Linked DNA regions of Arabidopsis thaliana. The protein of the gene in region 1 interacts with the protein of each later gene in a pairwise test. Each region holds a gene or a part of one and is shown on either strand. Other genes may lie near its edges. The genes, in order: AT5G66720, AT1G80040, LSU1 and AT4G22250.

Region 1 (8,366 bases):
AAGGGTCAAAGTCAACAAAAACAGACGAACATTGCATTAAATTGGGTTATAGTTTCGTTAACCAGAAATATACACCCACAAAGAAGAAAACAAATTGCGATTTCGAACGTAATGCTACACGACAAATTCCCACAGTAAAAAATGTTATTCGTTCAACAACAAAATTTGGTTAATTATTTTACGGTCCGACAACGCGACGGTAATACCCTCCTTTGTCCCCGTCTAAGGACAGTGACAGTAAAATAATTTTTTTGTTTATTGACATGTTCATAAGCTAAGAATTTAGATTAATATTGGAAATACTAAAACCCAATCTTAAACCAAACACGGATATATCTTTTGACAAAATAAGTCGTTTAGCTCAAAATCTATATAGTAAACAATGACATAAAATAAATTTATAATTTCTACGCCATCGACAATATTAATAAATTACTTGATCGTTTGATTACGTAACATGTAGAGATACAATAGAAAAATAATACAAACCTGATATTGCATTCATTGGGTACTGCATATATTCACATGCCATTTTCTAATTTTCATCTGTGTACATCGTCTATGATATAATCTTTTCCATAAAGGTGAAAAAATTATTACAATATCTATTTACTCGTTTTGTTTGGTGCTTTTAACCTTTCTACACCGTTTTCAATTTAAAATCTACAAAAAGATTATTCTATTTTAATTATTTGCATGGGAGTCCAAAATACAGATTTAGATACTTGGAACTTGAAAGTCGACACAATTATGTATAAAAAATGTTTGTTAACAAAAAAAAAAGGGTGAAAAGTTGAGAGAAAAAAATTAGTATAATTGTCTCCAGAGAGAGAAAAGAAGAAGAAGGCTCCTTTTTCTTGGACAAGCCAAAGAAAAAGAAAAAAAAGGTTGAAGCTTTCACACAAAGTCTCACACACAAGCCGCCTTATTTTTTTTTCCGGTGATTCTTCAGAGAGAAACAAGCCGGAAGTAGTAAGGATAACTCGTCTCCGGTGAAATCTCAGCCGTTGGATCAGATCGGTGGACGGTGGATAAAAGATGCGTGTGGAGAAGAGAGAGTCTGGGTTAAATGATTAAGAGATTTCTTGGGTAATGAAGTTTTGATTTTTTTTCTTTTTCTTTTGGGGGTTTTAAATCTTTTTGAAGAAGAGAGGTCAGAGAGTGAGTTATCAGAAAAGTTTGGTGGCGGAAAGGGGAAAAGGAGATTTTTACGAAAAGCAGATTGACTGGTAGCTGAAGAAGAGAGAGAGAAAGAGAGACTAAACAGAGTAGGAGGAGGATGATAAACCCTAGATTGAGCTGAGCTGAGATTTGCTTCTTCCTTTTTGTGTTCAAAGATTGGAATTTAGTATCTTTGAAACATGCCGGTTGATTTAGATAATTCCTCTACAGTTTCCGGCGATGCAAGCGTCTCATCGACCGGAAACCAAAATCTAACTCCTAAATCCGTCGGGAAGAAGAAACGGAATCTTCCTGGAATGCCTGGTACTTCTCAAAAATCCAAACTTTTTTTTTTCTGTTTTTTGAGTTTGAAATTTTCTGTTTTTAGTTGTTCTCACTGATTGTCTAAATTCAGATCCAGACGCTGAAGTGATAGCTTTGTCACCTAAAACACTTATGGCAACGAATCGATTCGTTTGCGAAATCTGTAACAAAGGTTTTCAACGTGACCAGAATCTTCAGCTTCATCGTCGTGGTCACAATCTTCCATGGAAACTTCGACAGAGATCGACTAAAGAAGTGAGGAAGAAGGTTTATGTTTGTCCTGTTTCTGGCTGTGTTCATCATGACCCTTCACGTGCTCTTGGAGATCTTACTGGAATCAAGAAACACTTTTGTCGGAAACACGGCGAGAAGAAATGGAAGTGTGAGAAATGTTCTAAGAAGTATGCTGTTCAATCAGATTGGAAAGCTCATTCGAAGATTTGTGGCACCAAGGAGTATAAATGCGATTGTGGAACTCTGTTTTCTAGGTGGCGACAAATTGTTATAAACATATTCAAAGGTTTGATCTTTCTTATGGATTTTACTAACTTGTGGATTGGGTTTTGTTGCAGGAGAGATAGCTTTATAACGCATAGAGCCTTTTGTGATGCCTTGGCTGAAGAGAGTGCGAAGAATCATACTCAAAGCAAGAAACTTTATCCAGAAACTGTCACTAGGAAGAATCCTGAAATTGAGCAAAAATCTCCAGCAGCTGTTGAGTCTTCTCCGTCATTACCGCCTTCTTCTCCGCCATCGGTTGCTATAGCTCCGGCACCGGCTATTTCGGTTGAGACTGAGTCTGTCAAAATCATATCTTCCTCTGTTTTGCCGATTCAGAATTCTCCAGGTACATAATACAAACTCTCTGTTTGATGGCAAAATGTGGCAAAATCGCTACATGTAACAATTTATCAATTCTCTAACCGAAACAAGAACTCTTTAAAATAATCCAACTGTAAACTGGTCGGTGAACTTGGAGTTTAGTTGGTTTTGTCTGTAGCGCCGTTATATTTCTGATGTCTGCTAAAAAACTGAATCGTGTTCGTCGTCTTCCATAGCTAAGCCTATAATGTATCCATTAATTATAATTAAAGCCTCAAAGTTTATGTCCATGACTCATCATCTCTTTTTGTTTGTAGAATCTCAAGAAAACAACAATCATCCTGAAGTCATTATTGAGGAAGCTTCAAGAACGATCGGGTTCAATGTTAGCTCATCGGATCTAAGCAATGATCACAGTAACAACAATGGTGGATACGCAGGTTTGTTTGTATCATCAACAGCTTCGCCTAGTTTATATGCTTCCTCAACCGCTTCTCCAAGTCTATTCGCACCATCGTCCTCCATGGAACCCATCTCTCTCTGTCTCTCGACGAACCCTTCTTTGTTCGGACCAACAATACGAGATCCGCCACATTTCCTAACTCCTCTCCCTCCTCAACCGGCAATGTCAGCTACTGCATTGCTCCAAAAAGCTGCACAAATGGGTTCCACGGGATCAGGAGGTTCGTTGCTTCGCGGGTTAGGCATAGTTTCAACTACTTCTTCATCTATGGAACTCAGCAATCATGATGCATTGTCATTAGCTCCTGGTCTTGGACTTGGACTACCTTGTAGCAGCGGTGGTAGCGGATCGGGTCTAAAAGAGCTCATGATGGGGAATTCATCGGTGTTTGGTCCGAAACAGACGACACTAGACTTTCTTGGATTAGGAAGAGCTGTTGGTAATGGTGGTAATACCGGAGGTGGATTGTCTGCTCTGTTAACTTCTATAGGTGGTGGAGGTGGAATCGATCTGTTTGGATCAGGGGAGTTTTCAGGCAAAGACATTGGAAGAAGTTCGTAAGAGAGACAAAAGGCATGAACGTAGTAGACCAGTGTAGTATATAGTTCATCAAGTTTGTTTCAGGTTTTAGATGTTTTGGTATCTTGTTTTAGTGAAAGCTTTAGTTTTATTCCCAAGTGGGTTTTCTCTCAAGTACATAAATCTCCTAGCAACAACAACAAAATATATTGTTTTTTTTTTGGTGTGTGGTTTATTATAACTCACATGTTGTACTTTGAGAGATAATTTGAACTCGGGTTGTGACATGACAGCTAAATTATTACAGATGGTTACAAATCTTGGTCTAGTTCTGATGGAAGTCTCTACCATGTGAAAACAATCAATGGGGTTTGAAGTTTCTATTATTGGGTGTTGCTTGCTGTCTTAAAACGCTGAATCGAATTTTTGCATTAATGGGAACAATTCGTAGATGAGATTGAATTGACTTCTCCCAAAAGTGATAAATTTTTTGGAAGGTGGTGATATTTGTCTAAAAACTTGCAGAACTAAAAATAGTCTCAATTTGGCCAGATAATTTGAGACTTGACCAGTGTGATTTGATTGGAGAATCGACCAAAGATTTTGGATTTTGATGTTTCAATCGCTACGTAGGTCCATTATAGTGATAGAATTATCATGACAATTCAACCCACAAAGGCACTATTTTGTATTTTATTTTGGAGAGCAAGATAATTTATTTACCCACATCATATTTACTGTATTACAAAATCGGAAGTTTAACAGAAATCAGTAACTATGATTAGTGTGACTTTATCATTTGATCAATATTGATATGCTTGGACTCGAGCAATGATCGTGTAGTTTTCAATATTAAGAAAATAAAATTGGTTGTGTACAGTAAGCAAGAAGAGAGAAGCCTATTGGGGTTGATTGTGAAATGTTTCTTTCTTAATAGGCCATTGATATTTTAAGCTCATTAGTCATTATGCTGAAGACTACTCAAGTCCACAAGCTTAATACTATTGGGCCTTAAATGTCAAGTCCAAGACCATTAAATTATTATCTCTTAGTATTTTTTAATTTCGCTGAGAAATTTCAGACATCGAAAACTGAACACGAAGAAACAAGTTAAGTTTCCGATTTTGCCCTCATCGGCTAATGAGTTTTACGGAGGAGCTCGCAGCTGCAGGTAGGTAGCGGAAACAAGAGATCTTTATATATTCCTTCCTCTCTTCTCTAACCTAATTCCGGCGAAGAAGAAGACGGAAAAAGCCCTGACTAGTGAAGAATCCGGTAATAGTTTATCTCTTATCTCAAGTATTTGAAGTGGGTAATGATTAAGGGCTCGTTTTATAGTCTGTTGATTTTGGTGTAGCTTTGTTCAGTTTTGGTAAAAATCTTTCCTTTTATTGATTATTATTGATTCAGATGTCAGCGACTGCTCTCTCGAGATTAAACCCAGTTTCTCAATTTGGGTTTCAAAGAATCGTTGCTGGGAAAAGTAAGAGCTTCTTCTCCAATTCGGGTCAAAGGAGATTGTTTTCTGATAGTTCTCGGTTTCGTCAAGCCATGGCTGCTTCTGGTTCTTTGCCAGTGTTTGGAGACGCTTGTTTGGATGATTTGGTTACTACTTGTTCAAATGGCTTAGACTTCACTAAGAAGCGTTCTAGTGGTGGTAGCTTCACTATTAATTGTCCTGTAGCTAGCATGAGACTTGGGAAGAGAGGGGGAATGATGAAGAACCGATTGGTTTGTCACTATTCTGTTGTTGATCCGCTAGAAAAGAGTCGTGCACTCTTTGGGACATTGTCTAAGAGTGTTCATACTTCTCCTATGGCTTGTTTCTCGGTTGGACCGGCTCATGAGCTGTCTTCTCTTAACGGTGGTTCTCAAGAGTCACCACCAACTACTACTACATCTCTTAAGTAAGTTCTTTTACACTTTCTTAATCTTTTTGTTACCAATTGGTTTCAATGTTTTGATATTTTGAGTAGGAGTCTTAGGCTAGTGTCGGGGTCATGTTATCTCCCGCATCCTGAAAAGGAAGCTACAGGTGGAGAAGACGCTCACTTTATCTGCGATGAAGAACAAGCTATTGGAGTTGCAGATGGAGTTGGCGGTTGGGCTGAGGTTGGTGTTAATGCGGGACTGTTTTCGCGTGAGCTTATGTCTTATTCAGTATCTGCAATTCAAGAACAGCATAAAGGTTCTTCTATCGACCCTTTAGTGGTGTTAGAGAAAGCACATTCTCAAACCAAAGCCAAAGGCTCCTCCACGGCTTGTATCATCGTTTTAAAAGATAAGGTTAGTTAGCTCACAGAGTTTTGTTTGTGAATGAACAACAACTGTATTTCTTAGAACCGTCTGTTGAAGAGTGTTTGTTCTCCTTGTGCAAGGGATTACACGCCATTAATCTCGGAGACAGTGGATTCACGGTGGTTAGAGAGGGAACCACGGTGTTTCAGTCTCCGGTTCAGCAGCATGGATTCAACTTCACTTATCAATTAGAGAGTGGGAACAGTGCCGACGTCCCTAGCTCCGGTCAGGTCAGTTTCAAAGGCGTATTCTTCCTATTATCAAAGCTTAATAAGACCATTTTGAATACACTTTTCAGTTGTGGTTCGGGTTATACGGATTGAATTGAACACGCTGGTGTGGTTATATGAATCAGGTATTCACAATTGATGTTCAGTCTGGAGATGTCATTGTCGCTGGAACAGATGGAGTGTATGATAATTTATACAATGAAGAGATCACAGGAGTGGTGGTTAGCTCGGTGAGGGCCGGTTTAGACCCGAAAGGCACAGCTCAGAAGATTGCAGAGTTGGCACGTCAAAGAGCAGTCGACAAAAAACGGCAGAGCCCTTTCGCAACTGCGGCTCAGGAGGCTGGCTACAGGTATTACGGAGGAAAGCTTGATGACATCACTGCCGTCGTTTCTTACGTCACCTCATCTTAAGAGACCAAATTGATGATCTTCTGTTTAAACGGTCCAATCCCGCCAAAATCTGACGATACCTTTTCTTTTATTTTTTGTTGTGTTTTTTTGAAAAACTTGTTACGGTATTAAAAGTCCTCAGGAGGTCATTAAATGTGTATTTTTCACGGAATCAAAATATAGTTTAGCTAAGTTATGAAACGTGAATCTAATTGTGTTTACTTAGGTGAAAAAACACGATAGAATAATCATGGTTCATAGAGTAAATTATATGATGATTCTATTATTTATACCACATATTCTTCGATTCCGTACACTAATTAGTTTGGCATACTATTTTTCAACATAAATTGTTGAAATACCAAACAAAAAAGAACAAAGCACAAAGCCTAACCATTTTTTCTTTCGTTTTACTCTGTCGAGTTCGTATTGCTATACCTTTTATCTTTTACCAGAGAGTTTCTACTTCCATCACTTGGACATACAACTTTTGAAGATCTTGAGAAAAGGGACGATCATATTCATCAGTTTATTCGTCTTCTTCTTCAGCTTCTTCGTCTTGCTCATCTTTAGTCCGGGACAATCACAGACAACACGTTCTTGAACCAGACTGCTTGTTGAATCCTCGGTAGCTATATTGGCTTTGCTATTGGATGAAGTAGCATCAGTGTCTGAGCTTAAGCTTCTGAGCAAGTTTGTTAGTGAATATGTAATTTCTTTAAACTCAGGACGAGCGTCAGGATTCTCTGCCCAGCATGATTGCAGGATAGAAACAACGCCTTCTGGAAGATTCTCCACACTTGGTCTCTGGTTCTGCAGATATTAAAGGACTTAATCAATTCATGTTCCTGTGATTTTGAGTTGAAATTGTGGCTTACTTACTTTGCTGGCAGCATAAGCTACAAAGATGTTGTTCTTTCCTTTGAATGGGGTTTTGTTGGTAAGTAACTCCCAGAAAACAATGGCGAAACTGTAAACGTCCACCTTATGATCGTAGTGTTTCTTTTCGCCAATTTCAAGCGTGTCATAGCTGAATAACTGAGAAACAAACAAACAAGTTAACAAACCAAGAAAAGATTTTAAACCTAATTAAGTAACAAGAAACTAGAAACACCCACCTCTGGAGCCATCCATCTGTATGTACCAGCCTCAAAGGTCATGAAACCTTTAGTCTCCTCTCTAGCAAGTCCAAAGTCAGCCAACTTTACATGTTTCTGATCACCTGTTAAGAGCATATTACCTGCACAAAAACCAATCTTCTTCAATTCACAAATCTTGATTCCTCTTTTCGTGATGTCTCAGTTTAACTTACTTGGTTTCAAATCTCGGTGAATAATGCCATTTGCATTCAAGAACTCCATTCCCCGAGCAATATCCAACGCAAAGCTAATGGAGAGCTTCAGATCAAGAGGCTTTGGACGAACACTCAACATAAACTTCTGAAGAGTATTGCCTTCCATGAGTTCAGTAATTATCATCAACTTTGGTTCTATGCACGCCCCAATGAACTGTCATCAAAAGGATCCCATTAGGGATATTATACCATCGACGACCAACGAGATAAGGCTGCTAACATATGAAAACAAACAAAACATCAAAGGCTCCAATATTACCCGCACAATGTTTTCATGTCTAAACTTGGAAAGCAGCAAAACCTCTCTCTGAAACTTCTTCCTCTGCTCAATGCTTAAAGCAGATGTTCTTTTAGGCTGGAATATCTTCACAGACACAGGGACAACTCTCCTGAACCTATAATCATGGATAAAGAAATGTTCTTTAACCCATATCCAAATTCCAAAAATCAGTAACAAGTATGCCACAATACAAAGATTACTCATTCAAACACCCACATCAGAATCTTCCTTCTTATTGTAATTCATGGTTTCTCTGTAACATTAATCCTTTTTTGAGGCATTGTGTAGGAAACACTAGAGCTGAGACTACATAAACCTAAGAGTGACAAAACCTAACACTAACCAGCATGAAAGATTCCAAATTTCAAGGTTAAACCCAAAATTAAATCACCAATATACCCTGAAACCTATACTCTTCGAATAAATACCGAAATCAAGAAAGGATAAACAGGAAAACAAAATCTGCAATTTTTGCACCAAACCCAGAAGCAATTTCGAAGTAGGAGATTGAGAAACGAGAAAC
Region 2 (8,355 bases), on another chromosome or scaffold:
TGGTATGACTGATGGATCTCAGCATGTGGGTCTAATCTAATATTGGATGTGTGATAGTCTCATTGTCCTGCATGCACTGGACTTGTAAGTTACAAGTTGTAACACCAAAAGGTGAGAGGATAGTGGATACAGTGACTTACACTATCTGCCAACAGTAAAAAACGCAAATAAGTGGGATCTTTGATTGGCATTTTGATTAGAGTTGATGTTACTGTTAGAGGAGAGCACAGAGTCACATGGTCAAGTCCCTCTCTTTCAATCCTTTTTATGTCTTTAAAAAAAAAAAAATTATTGGAAGTAAATGAAAGAGAGGCAGAGGAGATCTTGGGTAGTGATTGTCCTCCTAAGATTTGGTGTCCTTCTCTGTCTCTTTTGAAATTAACTGCACGAAAGATATTTGTGAGGTACGCATTCCTTGTGTTTCGTTTTCAAACTTCATCATCTCTTCTTTCAACCATTTTTCCTTTTCTTTACTTACCGTTTAGAAATCTTGAAATAAACTGACCAATTAGATATTTCAGTAAAAAAATCCTAACATCTAAGGATATAGATAGGTGCAACTCGGCCGCTTACGAATGTATTCGTTGTGTTCTTTTCTGTTTTGAAGTTGGATTTGAAAGACCACTACAATAATCGAGTTTGAGTGTTGTTGTCGTTTTATTGTGAAATATAAGGAGTGACGTGTCTAATGATCTAGAGTCATAGTGTGTATGTAGATGAAATCATGAAAAGCATAAGTTGGTTCAGATCCGACTAGTGGACAGAAAAGGATAATAGTCTCATCTGATTGATTTTGATTTTGCCTCTTCATCTGTTTTCAGCTATATATCTTTGAATCCAATTATAGGCTTCTTTTGTTTATAAGATTTATTTCTTGTATTTCTGTGATGCTTCAAAATGAAAGCTTTCTAATACGTCTCCACTTTGCTTTTCTTCTCTGTTTTACAACGTATAATGGAACTGGTGATGTAATCACTTATCTCAAATTATATGGTAAGAAGAAGTAGTACTAGTAGTAGTAGTAGTGCGGAGCTTAAAATGTTAAACCATATATCTAGACGAAATCTAAAGCCAACCAAATCTCTACTTGTGATTGAAAAAACGGCATACATAATAACATAGGTGGGGCACAAAATATAGTAAAGTAATGAAATGATTTGAAAATCAAACAAAAAGAAGAAGAAGAAGAGCAGGCGTGCGCTTCAACAGTCGAAATAGGCACTCGTACGTTTTTATTTTATCTATCTCCCTACTCTCACTCACATCTGGACCCTCCTTGCTCCTCTTTTACCTTCTTTACCGGTTTTACCATTGAATCAACGTTTTCTCCCCTTTTAACATTACAACTTTCTTTGGAAATTGATTTGTTTATGGAAAGACAGAGATAAATGGGTCATAACCACTATTACTATAAATGCTCGAGTTTACAATTTCATATCTTCCAGAAAGATTTGTTGATTTTCTGGTAAAGAAAGATTCGCTGTATATTTTTACAAGTATGCGTGCATGCTGTGCTGGCACAGAATATCGATTTCGTTAGATCAATACCACAACACATTTATGATTTTTGGTAAAAATCCATCACACAAAAGCCTTGATCTAGAAGACTAGAACCCACAAAATTAATCATATTAACATGAAATCTATATATAGTCAACCATTATTGGATAGAATCTAAGATATTTGAACTTTGGTTCTCAATTTACATAGTAAATCTATCCAACCACTATGAAGTGGTCGTTACAAGTGAGCTTTAATTTGATTATTCTTTATATATTTCAATTTTTAAAAGATATATTAAAAATAACAAATTCGGATGGAGACGTACGATGAGTGGGGTGAAGGAAATAAATGAGAGATAGAGATAGAAAGGAAGAATTATCAATATAAATGCTATCATAAATACAGCAAACCCCATTCTCTCTTCTTCTTCGACAAACACCAAGACAAACGTAAGCACAAGCACGAGTGAGTGAGAGATGTTTGCCGTGGAGAATGGGTTGCAGGGAGACCCGAGATTAAAGGCCATCTCCGACGCCATTCGTGTCATTCCTCACTTCCCCAAGACTGGTCCATTTTTCTCTTCTTTGCCTTTAGTTTTTCTTTTAGCTTACAAACTAACTAAGCTTAGAGTGTGTTTGTGTTGCAGGGATCATGTTTCAGGACATAACAACGTTGTTGCTGGATCCAGTTGCCTTTAAACATGTCGTCGACATCTTCGTTGATCGTTACAAGCACATGAACATCTCTCTCGTCGCCGGTTCCTTTCACTTTCCTTTCTTTAAACTTTCTCATGATTATTAGATGCCTTCTTTTATAGTTTAAGTCGCTATTTAATTAGTCTTTGCCAAATACGACACACACGAACAAAACCGGCTAATTATTGATTTAGCTTGAAAGGCAACACATTTCTTTATTTATTCTTGATTAATTTACGATATCCTTAAGAGAAGCATTCAGCTTGGAAGGCAACGCACATATAGATTATTAAATTTATAATATACGACATATAGAATCCGAAGCGTAATTATATCAGCCAATATGAAAAGATTGAATAAACAAATAGACAACTTTTATGGATTAATGATTTTACACTCACATACTAGTTTGTCTAGTGTGGTTGGTGACTAGTTACTTATCCCTTTACTCTTTATTATTGTCGTTAGTCTGTCTCTTGTTTTTTCTTTTGTCTTTTAGTGAACCTTTTTGGAACATAATTAGAAATGTCTAAGAAATACTAAAAACATAGATTGATGTATGCAGGAGTAGAGGCGAGAGGATTCATATTTGGACCTCCCATCGCGTTAGCCATAGGTGCCAAGTTCGTTCCACTACGCAAACCGGGAAAACTACCCGGTACGATTAGTAATATACATACATATCACTTCTCAGACAAAAACGTACATTTTGATGGAATAGAAAAAGTGTTATTGAAGGATACTATTGATTGTGATGTTAAAAAAGGGAGAGTGATAAGCGAAGAGTACGAACTTGAGTATGGAAGAGATTGTCTAGAGATGAGTGTAGAAGCCGTCAAATCGGAGGAACGAGCTCTCATCATCGACGATTTAGTTGCCACTGGTGGGACACTCTCTGCTTCCATTAACCTCTTGGGTAAATAATATCTTTCTACTTTCATTAGCTAGAAAATGAATGCTACATGCTAAACAAGATGATTTATATATTTACGCTTAAGAAGTTGTATATTATATCTGAGTATAATTATTGAACTAAAAGTGAGTCTCTTCTATGCACTTTAGAGCGTGCCGGGGCCGAAGTTGTAGAGTGTGCATGCGTTGTTGGTTTGCCTAAGTTTAAGGTACTATATGACCTACTTTGTTCGTTTGCATAAGTTGAAGGTCTTTTAAATTCGCGTCAATAATATTTTGGGCTTTAATGGGCGCTATAGGCCCATACATTTGAAGATAATAAAATAACTCATTGTCTACGATATGTAGGGGCAGTGTAAGCTGAAGGGAAAGCCTTTGTACGTTCTGGTGGAACCAAACCAGTTTGATGAATTAACCTTATAAAAGCCTTTTCTATTCAACGATTATGACAAATAATGTAATCGGTTTAATCGATTTTGTAACTAAGGATTTGTTTGTTTTCTATTGGCTCCATGTGGAATGATTCATGCTAGTTACTATGAAATTCGGAATACGAAGGTATGCAGTATTATGCACCACTGTTCTTCAGATGAATGAATTCAAGTCGATTTTCTAGTGATTTACATGGCAGAATTTATAAATAATATACATCATATTGTTTGTTAGATAACTTTACTAAGGGGGCAAAAAAGGAATTATCAGATAAACAAAATATTTGAAAAAAGAAAAAAACGTTGGCAGGGAGTTTCACGCGCAACGCAACGCGCCCATGTGATTAACAAAAGTACGAGAAAGCCCCTGCCGCTTAAAGATCTGTATATAAAAAGGGTAAAATAAGGTCTCCTGGCCTGGCCTTTAAGATAAAGAAAAGGAAACCCAATCGAAAACCTAAAACCCGATTAGATTTTCTTAGATACGAAACCTCTCTTACGACGCTCCTTCCTCAATCTCTCTCGATCGTCGGAGATTCTTTCTTCAAGAGTCATCTTCTTCTTCTTCTCCTTCTCCCTAAACCCTAATTTATCGCGTTTGGATCGAATCAGCTGTCAATTCTTGTTTTGGTTTTCACGGCCAGGGCCATGTCTGCCGTATATTGCGGAACCAAGAGATCTTACTTCGACGATAATTCTTCTCCGCCCTCTTCTAAGAGGTTCCGATGTTTTTCGCCTTCCAATTCTCCAATCTGGTCCTCTCCTCCTTCCTCATCGCTCGATCAGCTTCACTCTGCGTTTCCTCATATTGAACTCACGGTAGGTCTTCCTTCTATTCAATCCACACAGATCTAGCTTTACCTTGTTCGCATCTTGTACTAGAAATCTCACTGACTAGGCATTTGTTGACCTCAAATTACGCATCTGTCTCCGATATCTCTCTTCTTCTTCTTCTTCACCGCCTGTAAATTGAGCATCGAAAATTCACGTCTCGGTTGCACAGGTTCTTTATGCGATTGGTTGTAAGTAAATTTTGTACAGTATCTAGGGTTTAACTAGATTTGCAAGTCTTTCTCAGGTTCTCGTCAAGGCACTAGAAGATAATGGAAGTGATTTTAATGCTGCTATGAAGAGCTTATACTCTTTCGCATCTTCTGAGGAGAAGAAAGCTGAAGAATTGGCCGCAGGAGGTGCTGCTACTCAGGAAACTGATGCCGTTTGTGGTGGAAACCCCCCGACCAGTGGTGATGACTGGGTTGAATTGTTAGTCAGGGAAGTGTTACAATCGTCTGGTACAGATGATGCAAAAGTACGTGCAGCAAGAGTCCTTGAGGCCTTAGAGAAGATGTTAAGTGCACGTGCTCGTGAAGAAGCTGGAAACAAATTCCAAGAGGTAAATAAAGCATTGCATCTTTCTTAATGTGTTTCTTTCAAAATATACCCTTACATATGCACCTTGTGCATACATACTGGCTATCAGACCATGAATAGTGATAATCATATTTGTTCTTTGAGCTCTGGGCATGGAAGACAGTTTCAGTTGCTGTAGGACATAGGTTGAACCATTAGTTACTTCTTATGTAGGTGCATACGCTCGTCACTGATTACAAGTTTGTTGGATCTAAACACAATTATGTATAATGGCAATGAGGAATCAACTGTGAAAGGACAATCATCGTCCATTTGTTCTGCATTAACTATGATATCTGAAGAGGGTTTGTTTTTCAATGGGGGAAATAAAGTTATCATAGTAATTTTGTTCTTAGTAACAATCTCTTCTTAGTATTTTTGGCATATCTTGTCTCAAAATAACAATCTCATATGATTTTACAGGAGAAAGTGGCAGTGCAGCAACAGGTGGAGACCTTGGTGAAGGACAACACAGTCCTCAAACGTGCTGTTGCTATCCAGCATGAGCGGCAGAAGGCATTGGAGGATGCGAACCATCAGCTAGGACTTTTGAAGCAACTGGTTCCTCAGTATCAGGAAAAGCTTAGAAATCTGGAGGTAAGCCTTAGGCGATAGAGAGCTTCTGCATATCCCTTGCTATTGCTTTGAATGGTCTGGTGTTGGTTGTTTTAAAATTGAACCAAAAACAGATGTTGTTAGAATTTGATGATGCCTCATAAAAGAAAGAGTGAATGACAAAAGGTAGAAAAAATGCAGGTGAACAATTACGCGTTGAGAATGCAGCTGCAGCAAGTGGAACATGGCAACTCAATGCCAGCAAGATTCAATCCGGACGTCTTCTAAAGCTCTCCAAGAAGACAAGGACACTTGCAGAGGAGGAGAAGGCAATAAACGAAAGTAGAGGGAGAGAGAGAGAGAGAGCGATATCAAACTACAAAACAAAAGTGCTTTTGCATTGTAATACTGTGTAGTCAGGACAAACAAACATTCTGTTTCCTTTCCTTTTTTTTTTATATATTTCTTTGGTTTGCTGCTGTTTGTCTCAGGCGCATTTATTTTGGAAATCAAGGATGTGTTTTGGTACATAGGGCTGTATAATTTGACATTGTTCTGAAAATTCGAATCGGATCAACCATTAGTAGTATATGATATGAATGAATGATTTTACCTGTAAGAAATAAGCAAACGAGACTTTTGGGTTACGGCAAAAGAAGTGATGGAAGAGAAAAATAAAAAGGAAAGAAAGGAAGAAAATCCACGTGAGCGAGGTTCGCACCACAAAATCCCGAATTTCACTCTCTTTAGCCTAAAACGCTTTTGGAATCATCGTCATCATCTCTCAACAATGCCCGTTGCCAAGCTTCTCCGCGTCCTCTTGGTAGCTTGAGAAGCTCGTTTGATTCCATTTTGTCTCTAATGGCTGCCCTCGCTTCTCCCTCCCTCATCCCCTCTTCTCTCTGCTTCGCTGCCGCCGCCGATGGTCCCCGTTCCCTCTCTTCTAATTTCTCTGCCTTTTCCGACGGCGGTTCCAATTTCAGGTATCACAAGAGCTTCTTGTCGCTTTCATCTTCGTCTTCTTCGTCTACGCCTTATCGAAATCGACGGGGCCGTTCCCTCGTCGTATTTGCTACTTCCGGAGACTACTACGCCACTCTCGGTGTCTCTAAATCTGCCAATAACAAGGAGATTAAAGCTGCTTATCGACGGCTCGCTCGTCAGGTTTACCACCTCCTCCTCATCCTTTCTATTTCTTTGTAATTCGTTTTTCTGCTTTGTGAATTTCTCCCGCTTATGACATTACTTACGGCCGCCGAAATTGCCAATGTGAAAACCTGATCATCCAAGTAATTATGCATCCGGAGATTATGTTAGCATTTTCTCTAATTCTGGGTCTGTAAACGGTTGTGTTGTGCAAACTAGGACGAGTCAACGAATCAATTGTTTGTTTCCACATGAACATGATATTATTTGAATTTTTATTACTTTAATCTACTCAACATCAAGCTCTGCTTTAGTTTTCTACTTTATTTCAAGCTTATTGAGCTATGATCTCAGCTGATTATCAACTTTTTATATCTAGTATCATCCCGATGTGAACAAGGAACCCGGAGCAACTGAAAAATTCAAGGAAATCAGTGCTGCCTATGAGGTATGCACCAAAAGCTAAGGTCCCCCCAGTTCGATTCTCTTCATGTCATCTTTTCCTGTCCTATCACCACTTTTTTTGGGTTTTCTTTTCTTGTTACTTGTTAGCTTGCATGATTACAAGGCTTTGCTTTTATAACATGAGTTGTCAGCTATTTTGCCTTATGGTTACTGAACTACAACATTGTCAGGTGCTATCAGACGAGCAAAAGAGAGCATTATATGATCAATATGGTGAAGCCGGTGTCAAGAGTACAGTAGGAGGAGCTTCTGGTCCTTACACGGTAACACTTCATCTTTTTCTGGCTATGCTTAATCATACCCATGACTGGCTAGCTTAGGGCACTATTTGTGCGTTTCTTCTCTTGCTGATGCATTAGATGTTGAAACCTGATTTGATGTGTGCATTGGCCATTAGCTACTGTGCTTGTCCGATAGTTGTCCTTGACATTTACTTCCTCTTACATTTCCAACCAGTCAAATCCCTTTGACCTTTTCGAGACATTCTTTGGTGCAAGTATGGGTGGATTTCCCGGGATGGACCAAGCTGATTTTGGGAGAACCCGCCGCAGTAGGGTTACCAAAGGTGAAGATTTACGGTGAGTTTCTATTAGGAAACAAAGCATTTATTGACTTACCGCCAAAGGATTTCCTCTCTATTCTCTGGTAGCATAACAACATTCACTGTTTGCTGATAAGATACCATTCAATCATTACCTTAAAAATATTGTTAGTGTCTCCTAACTTACCATGTGTCCTGAAATTTTCTACTACCATGGGCTTGAATCAGCAAGCAGAGGAGGTTTGTGTCTGTATGTCCACTCGCTTGCTTTTTCTTTTGGAGTTTTTCCTTGCTCTTCATGTTCTGCATAAGCTTTGAGAAAAACCAAAAGTGATTAATTTGCATTTTTGTTTCTATTGCGTTTTAGGTATGACATCACCTTAGAACTTTCGGAGGCTATTTTTGGATCTGAGAAAGAATTTGATCTTACGCATCTGGAGACATGTGAAGCTTGTGCTGGCACCGGGGCAAAAGCAGGATCCAAGATGAGAATATGCTCCACTTGTGGTGGGCGGGGTCAAGTTATGAGAACTGAGCAAACACCATTTGGCATGTTTTCACAGGTCCGTGCAGTTGATTTCTTTCCGTTCTGTCTGCTTTATCTCTGTTGCAGTTAATTCGAGTCGATGTCAGAAATGGCATCTGATTGGAGCATCAGAGTTGATGTCAATGTGTAGTTTACTCAAACTAATCTGTT
Region 3 (6,620 bases), on another chromosome or scaffold:
CCTCTAGCTCCGCCAGTTGCGAGCAGAGTCTCTCCTCGGCCTCCTCCGCCACCACCGTACGCCGCCACAGCTGAACCATCTCTTTCTTCATCTCCTCCATTTCTCTCTCCAACTCTCCGTTCCTCCTCCGTAACTCCTCCACTTCTTCCGCCGCCACCGTCACATAACCTCCTCCTTTTCCCATTATGATTATGTTTCTTGTATATAGACAACAATTTGAGTTAGGTGGTTTTGCTGCTTCTTGTGTTAAACTGTTAAATTCTCTTCTATGTGTTGATGGTCCTTTTAATAGGCATATTTTGAGTTTTGGTATTTGGGATTGCAAAGTGTCTAGGTTCAATGTATCTCGTGTTCTCTTCTTTTTTTTTTTGTCGACATCATTGTCTGTCTACTGCACGTGGTACATATCATGCAAGACTATCACAATAATTTATTCCTTTTGAATATCTGCATCTAGAATTATCTTCAAGCAATATTTAACATTAAAAAAAAAAACATTTAGATTAAAATATAAATTAGGTATCGTTATCAGAAAATATATAATTTAGATATGAACTAGTATTATACTAATATGTAAACACACAAAAGTAGATAATTATTTATACAAAATCAAATACACAAAGATATACCACACTAATGATGACGAATATTAATTAGATATATATACTAGTAACCTAATAGGTTTAAAATGTTTTTTGGGGGCTGTTTTATTACATTAATCTAGAAAATGCAACATCAGTACATACATATCCATGCATGATAGTATAAGTATATCTGGCCTATTGTAGATATGTATCCTATATCCCAAATTTGACACATTTAAGAGAAAATCTCATATTCTATCAAAATTTTCATATAATTTGCTCATAGTGATTAGGCAAAAATCTTATAGTTATATTCCTTAATAGCTTATTAAGATGTCAAATTTCTTTTATCATCATCACCATAATTATTAGATACACAAAAAATTAGAAAATCATATTAAGACGTTAATTAGTATTATGCGAATTAGTTGAATATTAGGAATCGGTGAACGTCGTGGAGATACATATGGGTGACGTCACCAATCACGTCGATGTAATTGTCATATCCCATTTCTTCGTGCCTCCAGTGGACCACTTCTACTTATCCCAAGTCAATGGCCGTCGCACCAATGAAACACGTAACGATTATTCCTACTAATTCATTATTCTTGAATCCACCAATATTAGTCATTAAACCCATTAATCTAGGCCAAAGTCTAAGCTATCTCTATTTCCTAAATTGTTCATGGAACTATAGTTAATTAATTACAGTTTGGTCACCCGATATCAAAAGAATTATAGCTTTGTAAACAGTCAAATTCGATAGTCGATATCGTAGACAAATGATTCCAATAATGGTAGATCCTTCTTTTCAAGAGATATCAAAATCAGGGATAAAGTAGCATAAGAAAAAAGCCAAAGAAGAAAAAAAAATCATGAATAATCGTTTGCCCAATTATTACAAAATGCCAAAAAAAGCTGCGACATGAACAAATTCGGAGCGTGGGATGATCACATTTTAGACCATACAATTTGATTGAGTTCCTATACTGTCCAGGTTCAATGTATCTGCTTTCTTGTCCGGTTTAGTCTTCCAAAATTACATACTGGCTCACTTCGGTTTAATTTATTCTAATTTGGTTCAACTTTGTTTAGAATGAAAAAAACACACACACACACATCTTTCTTGAAACAATTGAAGTTTCAATTCATTTTTGGCAGGCATGGTTTACTCCGGTACCGTTGTTGATTAAATAAGAAATGGTAATAATTTTAAATCTACGCATGGCATATTCTCATCGTCAACGGATACTATCTCAAATTTATTATGATCAAAACAGTTAATTAACAGCAAAACAAACAAAATCACGTCAAAATCGAATGTCAATATTCCTCTTAATTTGCCAGCACCACATATCTTCATACTATTTTAAATGATTTTTTTTTATATTAACAAAATAAATATATAATTAAATGAAATAGAAACAGAAAATGACCCTTGAACCAATGGAAAACTTACACAATTTCATGTTTCACGTCCCCTAAAGACTATTGTTATGGTTCCATAGAAAAATCATTGAACCATTCTCTCCTACGGTTTCCATTGACCACAAAAAAAAAATCCTGAAGTTGTGGAAAATTTCCATGAAACTCATGTACCCAAAAACCCTTTATTTTTTTCTACACTCAAGTTTCAATTAACTCTTCTACGATTCCTTTGAAAATTATGGTAATGTAGGATTTCATGGAATTTAAACTTCAAAGTTCTTCGATCCCCTTCGAGTCTCCAATACCTACTAGTTCCATAAAATTATTTTGATAGTTAAGATTGACATTAGATCTCACTCATATATTATTACTTCATTACTTAAACATGGTATCATTCCAAAATATTATTTGCTTCCATAAGAACTTTTGTAATTAAAAGTCAAGACAAAATATGCAACTAGTACCAGAAATACTAATTCATTAGAAATGGAGTTCAACAATTTGTATGATTATCAGAAATTCTAATTTATTCACTAGAAATGGATTCAAACATTTAATTTATGTTGAAAACATAACATATTACCATCGATCTATATACATGTATAGTGATTGTCACATACACAACTATACATAACTTATGAGAAATATCTTATTCTACGAGGAAGAGACGACAGAAGAAGAAGAGAGACGAGAGATTTGATCCATGAGGAAGAGCATGCGATCGTGATAGTCACGTGCCTGTTCTAAAGACTCGACCTCCAGCTCCGCCAGCTGCGAGCAGAGTTGCTCTTCCGCCTCCTCCGCCACAACCGTTCGCTGCCACAACTTAATCATTTCTGTCTTCATCTCCGCCACTTCTCTCGAGAGCTCTATGTTCCTCCTCCTTAGCTCATCCATCTCTTCCGCCGCCACCGTCACGCATCCTCCTCGGTTCGCCATTAAGATTCTTTGTGTAAAAGGATTTGATTGTGGTTCTAACTTTGTTTCTTGATTTGTTGAGTGTTAGGGTTTGATTATGTTTCTTTAATAGGCGCTTTGTGTAGCTTTTGCATGTCCAGGTTCAATGTATCTGCTTCTTGATTTTTATTTCTCCTCACTTTTGATTTCGGTCAATATTTTCTCCTTACTTGAAACTTAAACATACTCATGGCTTATGTATGCATAGACCACCCCAAAAGAGAAAATTTACTATTTTTTTCGAATGTTCAATTTTTTTTTTTCGTTTTTTTATCACAGTTTCGCTAGGTTCGATTTAAATATTTTTTATATGAAACTTAAACCAAATTAATTTCGAAATTTCCGGTTTATCCATGTTATTAACTAGTTTTAACTTTAAAATTAATAAACAAATTGCCGTCTATACAACTATAAATTGATAAATGGATAAATATATGTTAACGTGTAAATAGAATAGTAATTAATAATTCTAATGCCGTGGTTTACACAAATTCAATTTAATTATTTATAAATCTCTGGTCCGTCAAATTTGTAATAAAAATGTGTTGGTCTGATCTCTGATGTATGTATGTGGTATATATTGATTACATTATTGAGTTAGTAGGGCTTGAAATAGGTGACGTCTGAAGCCAATCACTATAGTGTTTCTCACTTTCTTGTGATATTGTGAGTTTGTGACAAGGATTTATTCTTTAGATTATTAACTAACAAGTTAATAATTTGGGAAAACGCTGCCGCTTAATATTGCGTTACTTATATTATGATTGAAGAACTATTATGGGATATTTCACGACATCATACATCTACAACCACTATAAAATAGAAAATTAGTGTACTATCACCAAAAATATATTTCTCCTGTTCCATGAAATTTGATGTTTTAGATTTTTTTTTGTTCCATAAAAATTGATTTCTTAGGTTAATATTATTATTATTTTTATTAATGACTAATAGAGAGAGGAAAGAAGTAGAAATTATATTATTAAATTAACAAAAAAATAATATAAATAACATAAAAGTTAATTTTCTTAATTTGGGTGAAAAACCCAAAACATCATTCTTTTAGGAACATAGAGAATATATAATAGACATTTACAACTTATACATTTGTTGATAACATGCAGTATGTTAGTTTGAATACATATTTTTCACAACAGTAATAATAACAGTTGTTAGAAGACTAAACTACATTGTAAGAATCGCTTTCTCTTGTAATGATACAATATAACATATAACATTTAAAATAAAATAAAAATCTGTAGGTTTTAAAATGTTAGCTACGTAGTCCATAACTTCAAAAAACCAATGGTTTTGAACTCATTCCATAGTGATGATTGCAAATACATATTATCTGGTTTACAAAAAAAAAAAAAAAGTGTTCCAATTATCTAGAAATGTTGGGCCTAATGCTTAAACAGTAAGCCCATATACTTAAACATCCGACTTGGCGCATTTGCTTCACCTTCTCTACCAAAAAAGCGCGTGAGATTCAGGTTCACTGTATACATTAAGAGCCTATTGTCTTGTCTCCTGTAAAACCAGAAGAAAACAAAAATTCAACAAAGGATAACAAGGACGTGGCTATTCTTCATTGGCTGCATTCACAAGAGTCGAATATTAATTAGTAATTTCACAGTATAGTACATTAAGATTAACGAGACCTATTGTCTCCTGTAATTGAGGCAACAAGATAAGGGTAAAACGAGAAAAACAAAAGAGAACAAAGACGTGGCTATTTATCATTGGTTGAATTCAATATTAATTTAATTAGTAATTTCACAGTGTTCTCAAATCGTGATCGTGTGTGTTTCTTCTACCTCTGAAACTCTTTTTGTTTATGTTGATCATCATCATCGTCATCTGCGTGTAAAACACACTCACGCCATCGTTGACGTCTCAGATCTTCACATAAAAGCTTCTATTATCAAACTCTCTTCCTCACGGTAACCCTAACTATCTGTAATTTATCTCTCTACACTTTCTTCATCTCTTAATCACCTTAATCATCTTAAGCTTTGTATTTCTAGATCCTTCTCCCAAAACAACGATTCGTGATCTCCGTTCTCATAGATCAGTTTCGGATTTGGATATTTCTTAGGGATTTGTGTGAGATATTTTTAGAATTGTTTCGATTTAGGGATTTGTGTGAAGAAGATGGATTTTCCAGAGAATTTGCCTTCAGATATAGGAAGATTAGAGCAGATTGTTTCTCATTTCTTCCCAAAAGCATTACACATAGTTCTTAATTCCAGAATCCCTTCGTTGCAATCTCGTGGTCGTACTCGTGAGCGTTTATCAGGTCTTAACGTTAGAAAAAGTGACAAATGGTTTAATCTTGTGATGGGAGATCGTCCTGCTGCGTTGGAGAAATTGCATTCTTGGCATAGGAATATTCTGGATTCTATGATTATTGATATCATTCTTGTCCATCCGATTTCAAACGATAATTTGGATGATGATGATGATCATAGTGATTCTGTTGTTAGATCAGCTGAGACTGTGATTGAGCGTTGGGTTGTTCAATATGAGAATCCTTTGATTATGTCTCCTCAGAGTTCTGACTCTGCAACGCGTTACCAGAAGGTTTACAAGAAATCTATCATTCTGTTGCGGTCTCTTTATGCACAGACTCGGCTTCTTCCTGCTTATCGTGTCTCTAGGCAGCTGAGTTCTTCTCTTGCTTCTTCTGGTTATGATTTGATTTACAAGGTTTCATCTTTCAGTGACATATTCTCTGGTCCTGTGACGGAAACAATGAAAGAGTTTCGTTTTGCTCCTGTTGAAGTGCCTCCTGGTCGTCTTTGTGCATCGGTTACTTACCGTTCTGACTTATCTGATTTTAATCTCGGTGCTCATATCACATTGCCTCCGAGGATTATAACTGATTATGTGGGAAGTCCTGCAACAGATCCTATGAGGTTTTTCCCTTCTCCAGGGAGAAGTGTTGAAGGCCATTCCTTTACTGGTAGAGCTGGTCGGCCTCCATTGACTGGTTCATCTGCAGAACGTCCGCATAGCTGGACTAGCGGCTTTCACAGACCTCCAGCTCAATTCGCAACACCGAACCAATCTTTTTCGCCAGCTCAGTCTCATCAGTTGTCACCTGGGTTACACGATTTCCACTGGTCACGTACAGATGCTTTTGGTGACAATCACCAGCTTTCACCTCCCTTTTCACCATCGGGTTCTCCATCTACTCCAAGATACATATCTGGGGGTAACAGTCCGCGCATTAATGTGAGACCAGGGACTGCTCCAGTGACCATTCCTTCTTCAGCCACGTTAAATAGATACGTTTCATCTAACTTCTCTGAGCCAGGTAGGAATCCACTTCCTCCTTTTTCCCCCAAAAGCACAAGACGCTCCCCTTCATCGCAGGACTCTTTGCCTGGGATTGCGTTGTACAGGAGTTCTAGAAGCGGAGAGTCTCCTTCTGGATTAATGAACCAGTACCCTACTCAAAAGGTTATGCTTCTTACATCTTATGTGTCTTGCTCAATGCAAGAAAAATATCACTATATTTTGTATTGCCTCATCTGATATTTTGTTGATTTATTTATATCTACTCTTCAGCTGTCAAAGGACAGCAAATACGATTCAGGCCGCTTCTCAGGAGTTCTGTCTTCGAGTGACTCACCAAGATTCGCGTTT
Region 4 (7,214 bases), on another chromosome or scaffold:
GCTAGAAAATCAGTTGATAGTTTTAATTTCGAACTATTTCATACAAGATGGCGCCATGTTCAGGGCCTTTTAGCACATAAGCTATTATTCTAAGCCCAATAAGTTAACCCGGGTCGGATCATTTGACTTAATCGGATCCTAATTTTGGTAGGAAATTTCTCCGGCCGTGATTTGTTGGACGCGTCGACGTCGATGGGGATGAGAAGTAGTGGAGAATCCGCTCACATTGGGATTCGTCATTCTTCTTCTAAAACCCGCAAAATTTCTCCATTTCTACCAAAAATATCCAACTTTTACTTTTCTTTCCTGTGAAATTATCTGCTCAAATCTTTGGTTCCTGACGGAGATGGCGGCGATTTCAGGCATCTCCTCTGGTACGTTGACGATTTCACGGCCTTTGGTTACTCTTCGACGCTCTAGAGCCGCCGTTTCGTACAGCTCCTCTCACCGATTGCTTCATCATCTTCCTCTCTCTTCTCGTCGTCTGCTATTAAGGTGTGCCTAGCTACAGCTAATATTTAATTGATTTGTTCACACGTGATTATGAAAAGGATTTGAATTTTGCTGTACTTTTGTTTCGTCCATTTCTAGTTTGCTGAAAATTGGAACTTTTTTGAAAACTTCAGGAACAATCATCGAGTCCAAGCAACGATTTTGCAAGACGATGAAGAGAAAGTGGTGGTGGAGGAATCGTTTAAAGCCGAGACTTCTACTGGTACAGAACCACTTGAGGAGCCAAATATGAGTTCTTCTTCAACTAGTGCTTTTGAGACATGGATCATCAAGCTTGAGCAAGGAGTGAATGTTTTCCTTACAGTAAGGTTTTATAACTCTTTTATTTACCTGAAACGTTATGTCTTACTAGAAATATAGATTTTTTGGTTGTGTTATTTTACCGGAAGTTATTTCATGTCTTCTGATTGTTGTCTTGTTTTCGTTTTCTCCGCAGGACTCGGTTATTAAGATACTTGACACTTTGTATCGTGACCGAACATATGCAAGGTTCTTTGTTCTTGAGACAATTGCTAGAGTGCCTTATTTTGGTAAGTGCATCTATTTGTAATTGTAGTTTCAGTTCGTTATAATATTTGCAAGAAACATTGAGCAGAGCATTAAGAGCTAGTCATTAGGTTTTGTATTCTTCAGAAGACAGTAAGATTGTGAACATCACTTGAGATGTGTGCAGAAGAAGAACAATGACGAAATAGTTGTGTTTGAGGAATATGTACTCTTTCTTATCTCATTAGAAGCATAGTTCAACTCTTAACAACAAAAGGCGATTCAGTCATCGAGATATTGGATTTGTTGAGAATCGAATCTTGTTTTTTTTAGTGTGTTTATCACTAATTATGGATCTGGATACCAAATGAAAAGTTGTTCCGAGGCTAGAACATAATGTTTGTTTCTTCTATATGCTCCTTGCAGCGTTTATGTCTGTGCTACATATGTATGAGACCTTTGGTTGGTGGAGGAGAGCAGATTATTTGAAAGTACACTTTGCTGAGAGCTGGAATGAAATGCATCACTTGCTCATAATGGAAGTAAGAACCAAAATGTTACTTCTCTACAAGTTTCATACTCTTTACTCACATAGTTAGTAATAGTAAAACAAATGTTTCTAATCACAGGAATTGGGTGGAAATTCTTGGTGGTTTGATCGTTTTCTGGCTCAGCACATAGCAACCTTCTACTACTTCATGACAGTGTTCTTGTATATCTTAAGCCCTAGAATGGCATGTAAGTTTCCTTTCCGCGTAACTTCTAGAAAGTAGCTGAATAAATTGCTTCTGGTCTACATGACTTCGTTAACCTTGTGTCACCTATGCAGATCACTTTTCGGAATGTGTGGAGAGTCATGCATATGAGACTTATGATAAATTTCTCAAGGCCAGTGGAGGTTGGTTACCAATGGTTTTTTCTTCTTTCTCCACCATTCTGTGTACCATTTACATTAGAACTAAAGTTGTTAATGGAGTTATTGCTTTGAAATATTACACAAAATTCTTCAACGATCTTTACATTCTGAATTGTTGTGCTTCATTTTTTTTTGGTTTCCCTAAACAGAGGAGTTGAAGAATATGCCTGCACCGGATATCGCAGTAAAATACTATACGGGAGGTGACTTGTACTTATTTGGTGAGTTTGTCTTTCCAGGAATTATCAATATCCTCCAGAGTTGTAGAGATGTTTTTACCTATGATTAGTAGTCTTTTAAACTGGCCCTGTATTGTCTGCAGATGAGTTCCAAACATCAAGAACTCCCAATACTCGAAGACCAGTAATAGGTAGCAAATCTATTTCATATCCGTTTAGTTCTTTCCATCTCTGATTCCGTCGAACCACAAAATGCTAAAAAAAAGTTTATGATTTATCCATGGTTATGATTCTGCGCTCTATAAATGACTGAGATTCTGTCTTATGTTTGTATGGAGGAAGCATTATTCACAGTTTGTGACTTACTTTGATGTTAAAATAAGAATCTATATAACGTTTTTGTTGTTTTGTGATTACGGTTGGGCAGAAAATCTATACGATGTGTTTGTGAACATAAGAGATGATGAAGCAGAACACTGCAAGACAATGAGAGCTTGTCAGACTCTAGGCAGTCTGCGTTCTCCACACTCCATTTTAGAAGATGATGATACTGAAGAAGAATCAGGGTGTGTTGTTCCTGAGGAGGCTCATTGCGAAGGTATTGTAGACTGCCTCAAGAAATCCATTACAAGTTAATAAATTAGAAAGTAAACTAAAAAAGATTATTTGTATCAGCTCATGAACAATAGATATAATCCCATATACTTGGGAATAAAGGAATAATGTGAAATTCCCATCGTTGTGCTAGTGTGTGAGAGAATCAAATACCCTAATGATGTAAATGTACTTTGATGAGCTTAAGTCGTTGTAGACCATTTTATCCATACTACTAGCCTTTGTGGTTGCATTGTCGGTTTCTTCAATTCTTATTTCACAGGAGTAAAAAAAATGTTTAAAAGTACAAAATCATTGAATGTATCATTCTCTCAAAAAGCATATTGGTATTAGCGTTTAGAATCTCTATATCCCACACTTTTATTTTTATTGGTTTTGTTGGGGAGAGTGTGGCGCAAAGACGACGTCGTCTATGCGAACATTTCACGTGGGAAAAGCCTTGATTCATGCGCCTTCTTTAATTTTTCTTCTTTTTTTTTTTTTTTTTTTGTCTCTTCTTTGCCTTTCACTTTTTAAAATGATTTTCCGCGGGTTTAATAACAAAAATGTTTTCCCGCCAGAAAGGTTTTACCAAAAAACCATGTTCCGGTTATAGCACAGGTAAGAGAATTCATCAGTCTAGTATAATTAGCAGTAATCAAATTCGAATACTTTGATCGTCGCTTTTATTTCAGAGTTAGCGTTACATTAATAGTACCTTTATTCGATTGATGATTTGTTTAATCTTTAATAGGGTTTGAACTCCGATGGAGGACCTTTTTTGTTGGTAATATTCCCTTCGTTTCACAATATAAGTTGTTTTAACTAAAAATACGTATATTAAGAATATTTATTTTTAAAATGTTCAACCAATTATAAAAAAAACTGTAGAATATAAATAATCATAAAGTATTAAAATAATATATAATTTGCATAGAAACTTGAAAACAACTTATATTATAAAACAAAAAATTTGGTATAAAACAACTTATATTATGAAACGGAGGGAGTATAAACTTAAGTACTAATTCGATTTTGTTTCTATTCGAGACCTTGAAGACTTTTTTATTTAATTTTAAAACTAAGTCGTACAGTTACAGAAACAGCATTAAATTTTTCCTCTTAAGTAAATTTATTTTTTCTCTTTCTATCAGAAATTCAGAAGAACTAACATTATAGTTGCCCCCATTGCGTACACTGTACATCATTTCTCGGTAAATTACACATAATTATAAGTTGATTAACCTTTTAAGTTTTAAACAATGATGTAAGTAACTTATTAAAAATTGGTTTTTAAAAATTGAAAGTTATATACTCAAGTTGGAAAAATATTTTACAAATATACTCGATTCCACTACTACTGTAATTTTGTGTGGAATACCAGTCAAACAGAATCGTTATAACTGTTAAAAATTAGTAAAACTGTATAAAGTAATTTTAATTCGCGGGAAATCAATATTCGGAAGCAACTTTAACAAAAAAAATAAAGAAATGTGAAGAGAAAAAAAAAACTCTGAAAACTTCCTTTATAATGTCATCATCACTGCGAGACCCAAAGATCTAAACAGTTTCTCTCTCTCCCTCACAGGGCTCTCTCATGGCGGAGCTAATCTGTCTATTTCACTGGTGATTCTGTTTCACTATCTGAGAATTTGTTTAGAGTTTCCGTTACCGAGTCGATGATGAGTGAACTCGATCTCGGAACGAGTCAGAGGATGACGGAAACACACCGCACGACGACGACGTTTCTTGATTTGCTCCGACGACAGATGAGCGGTCACGATCTCACCAGAAGGAAACGGACGTTAAAAGAACGGTTGAGATTCAAATGCATCGGATGCTGTGGTCCAACCTGGAATCTCCGTCTAACTAACAACACCACTCTTCACAGTCCAACCTCAAGAGACGACGAAATCGAAGAGTTACAAATTGAAACCGGACTCGTTCTCGAATCGGATCATGGATCGGGTACGGGTATGAATCTCGCGACAGCGTTAGAAGCGGAGAGGTATAACCGTGGAGAATCGACGGAGGCGGAGGCAGATATGACGCCGAGGAGAGTTTCGTTGATGAGATTGTTGGAAGAGACGGCGGAGAAAATCGTTGATGACGACGGGAAAGAAACGGAGATATTAACGGCGTCTATTGGGACGTTAACGGGTAATGATTCGGTGTGTTGCGTGTGTATGGGAAGAAAGAAAGGCGCTGCGTTTATTCCATGTGGTCATACTTTTTGCAGAGTGTGCTCTAGAGAATTGTGGCTGAACCGTGGATCGTGTCCTCTTTGTAACCGTCCGATCATTGAGATACTCGATATTTTCTGAAAACGATCGGACGGCTAAAAGTTCTCGATCCACGTGAGTAAGTGAGGTGATCCCTAGATACGTTTCCAAAGTTTTAACTACGGTTTGTGTACTTTGTACGTTTCTTTTGGTTATTGAAGAAGATGATGTAAATGCAAAAAAGAATACAAGAGGTTTTTTGTTCACGAGGCCCATTTAGTCTATTCAAGCCCAGTAAACCGTTATTTTGGATTTTATCTAGCCTAAACAATGCTCGCCTCACACCGTCGAGTGGATTCTTGGCCGTTGATCTTGTCTCTCACGTGGCAGTATCGTAGTCGAATGTACATGATCTATGTGGAATAGTCGATATTATCCCTCTTGGTGTGAGTTTGGTAGTTGATGAAAGCAAAACATTTACGTAACAATGTCTATAAAATCAGTACAGGTCTATTCTTGTTCACTAGCTTCGAAATTTTAGTCGAAGAAACAAAAAAAAATGGCGACGGTACAATTGTCCACCCAATTTAGCTGCCAAACCAGAGTTTCAATCTCACCGAACTCTAAATCTATCTCCAAGCCTCCGTTTCTGGTACCGGTGACCTCAATTATTCACCGCCCGATGATCTCCACCGGAGGAATCGCTGTTTCCCCCCGTAGAGTTTTCAAAGTCCGAGCCACAGATACGGGAGAGATAGGATCAGCTCTATTGGCGGCGGAGGAAGCAATTGAAGACGTGGAAGAGACGGAGCGGCTAAAGAGATCGCTCGTGGATTCGTTGTACGGAACAGATCGAGGTTTAAGCGCATCGAGCGAAACCAGAGCTGAAATCGGAGATCTAATCACACAGCTCGAGTCTAAGAACCCTACTCCAGCTCCGACGGAAGCTCTTTTCCTTCTCAACGGCAAATGGATCCTCGCGTAAGTTTTTTTCCGGTGAAAACTTTCTCTTGTAGTCCTGTAGATAGCATCATTCGTAGGATTCTGGATTCAAATGGTAGATCTCGTGCTGCTTTTGATTTGGTTAAACCTCTTTTGCAGCTACACATCGTTCGTGAATTTGTTCCCGTTGCTATCACGAGGAATCGTACCGTTAATAAAAGTCGATGAGATCTCTCAAACCATTGATTCAGATAACTTCACCGTCCAGAACTCTGTTCGTTTCGCTGGTCCTTTAGGTACAAACTCGATTAGCACCAACGCTAAATTCGAAATCCGAAGCCCTAAACGCGTCCAGGTAAATTGACCATTCATCGACCATGATCTGATATCAACATCTTGAAACGTTTTCAGTAATGTTTTGGATTTCATTTTTCTTGCAGATTAAGTTTGAGCAAGGCGTAATTGGGACGCCTCAGCTAACGGATTCTATTGAGATACCGGAATATGTAGAGGTTCTTGGTCAAAAGATTGATCTTAACCCGATCAGAGGGTTACTTACCTCGGTGCAAGACACAGCCTCGTCTGTGGCTAGAACCATATCAAGCCAACCACCGTTGAAATTCTCTTTGCCGGCGGACAATGCGCAGTCTTGGCTACTCACGACTTATCTAGACAAAGACATTCGGATCTCTAGAGGAGACGGTGGAAGTGTCTTTGTGCTTATCAAAGAAGGAAGCCCTCTCTTGAATCCTTGAACTTGGTCAAAATATATGTCTCTCTCTTGTCGTTGTGTTAAGTGAGACAAATATATAGTGTGGTTGTAGGTTTACTTCTTAATCGTTGTTATTAACTCGATGATAAGGAATATAATGTTTTTAACTACTACAGAACATCTCGTCTATGGCCTATGAAATGTGTCTCAGATTTTCACAAAATTCAAGTGTTTTAGAATTTCATTCTCTTCTGTTTGATTTAGAAAGTAAACTATGTACCGATGCAAGAGTTACATGAGAATTATCCCGGCAACGTCGGGTCTTTCGATAAGAATCGAGATGATGACTGTCATTTTGTTGTCTAATTGGTTCACTCTGTGCTTGATGCCTATCATTTTTTTTTTGAGGGACTCAGTCACTGGAAATGGTTCTATTAGTATGGTATGGGATACTTGTTAGTATAGTACTCGAGGTTTCTAGCATATGCCATAGAGTTTCTCAATATCTGAAGCCCTATTTTGAATGTGTTTGTTCTTTCTGTAATTTATTTAGAGACCATCAGGTAAAGGAAAAACTCAATTCAGACAAGAACATAAGAAACCTAAATTGACCAAATTTCTCATATAACTGAAAGTTTGAAACTGTGTTT

Evidence for each region.
Region 2: the proteins of AT5G66720 (region 1) and AT1G80040 interact in a two-hybrid assay, tested with the Arabidopsis thaliana proteins (one large-scale study listed by BioGRID).
Region 3: the proteins of AT5G66720 (region 1) and LSU1 interact in a two-hybrid assay, tested with the Arabidopsis thaliana proteins (one large-scale study listed by BioGRID).
Region 4: the proteins of AT5G66720 (region 1) and AT4G22250 interact in a two-hybrid assay, tested with the Arabidopsis thaliana proteins (one large-scale study listed by BioGRID).

What each region holds. Positions count from the first base shown.
Region 1 is NC_003076.8:26,636,879-26,645,244, reverse strand, and holds AT5G66720 (Protein phosphatase 2C family protein), read left to right. Parts: upstream 1-4,332; 5' UTR 4,333-4,564; intron 4,565-4,699; coding exon 4,700-5,196; intron 5,197-5,265; coding exon 5,266-5,575; intron 5,576-5,667; coding exon 5,668-5,817; intron 5,818-5,942; coding exon 5,943-6,230; 3' UTR 6,231-6,455; downstream 6,456-8,366. Other genes in the region: IDD1 (C2H2-like zinc finger protein), read left to right, coding at 1,362-1,485, 1,577-1,973, 2,058-2,332, 2,625-3,331; AT5G66710 (Protein kinase superfamily protein), read right to left, coding at 6,681-7,022, 7,092-7,247, 7,328-7,449, 7,522-7,717, 7,823-7,958.
Region 2 is NC_003070.9:30,106,886-30,115,240, reverse strand, and holds AT1G80040 (ubiquitin system component Cue), read left to right. Parts: upstream 1-3,956; 5' UTR 3,957-4,189; coding exon 4,190-4,360; coding exon of another isoform or gene 4,361-4,364; exon of another isoform or gene 4,365-4,515; coding exon of another isoform or gene 4,516-4,544; intron 4,545-4,619; coding exon 4,620-4,934; intron 4,935-5,125; coding exon of another isoform or gene 5,126-5,182; exon of another isoform or gene 5,183-5,374; coding exon 5,375-5,548; intron 5,549-5,707; coding exon 5,708-5,794; 3' UTR 5,795-6,182; downstream 6,183-8,355. Other genes in the region: APT2 (adenine phosphoribosyl transferase 2), read left to right, coding at 1,980-2,070, 2,150-2,260, 2,764-2,856, 2,965-3,114, 3,261-3,319, 3,459-3,533; AT1G80030 (Molecular chaperone Hsp40/DnaJ family protein), read left to right, coding at 6,368-6,670, 7,032-7,100, 7,288-7,380, 7,574-7,695, 8,026-8,221.
Region 3 is NC_003074.8:18,372,769-18,379,388, forward strand, and holds LSU1 (response to low sulfur 1), read right to left. Parts: upstream 3,173-6,620; 5' UTR 2,952-3,172; coding exon 2,667-2,951; 3' UTR 2,465-2,666; downstream 1-2,464. Other genes in the region: LSU3 (response to low sulfur 3), read right to left, coding at 1-184; ATG13 (Autophagy-related protein 13), read left to right, coding at 5,124-6,493, 6,557-6,620.
Region 4 is NC_003075.7:11,765,483-11,772,696, reverse strand, and holds AT4G22250 (RING/U-box superfamily protein), read left to right. Parts: upstream 1-4,133; 5' UTR 4,134-4,367; coding exon 4,368-5,012; 3' UTR 5,013-5,242; downstream 5,243-7,214. Other genes in the region: IM (Alternative oxidase family protein), read left to right, coding at 347-495, 627-816, 950-1,043, 1,426-1,541, 1,629-1,737, 1,829-1,897, 2,065-2,136, 2,238-2,285 and 1 more; AT4G22240 (Plastid-lipid associated protein PAP / fibrillin family protein), read left to right, coding at 5,470-5,891, 6,012-6,207, 6,293-6,607.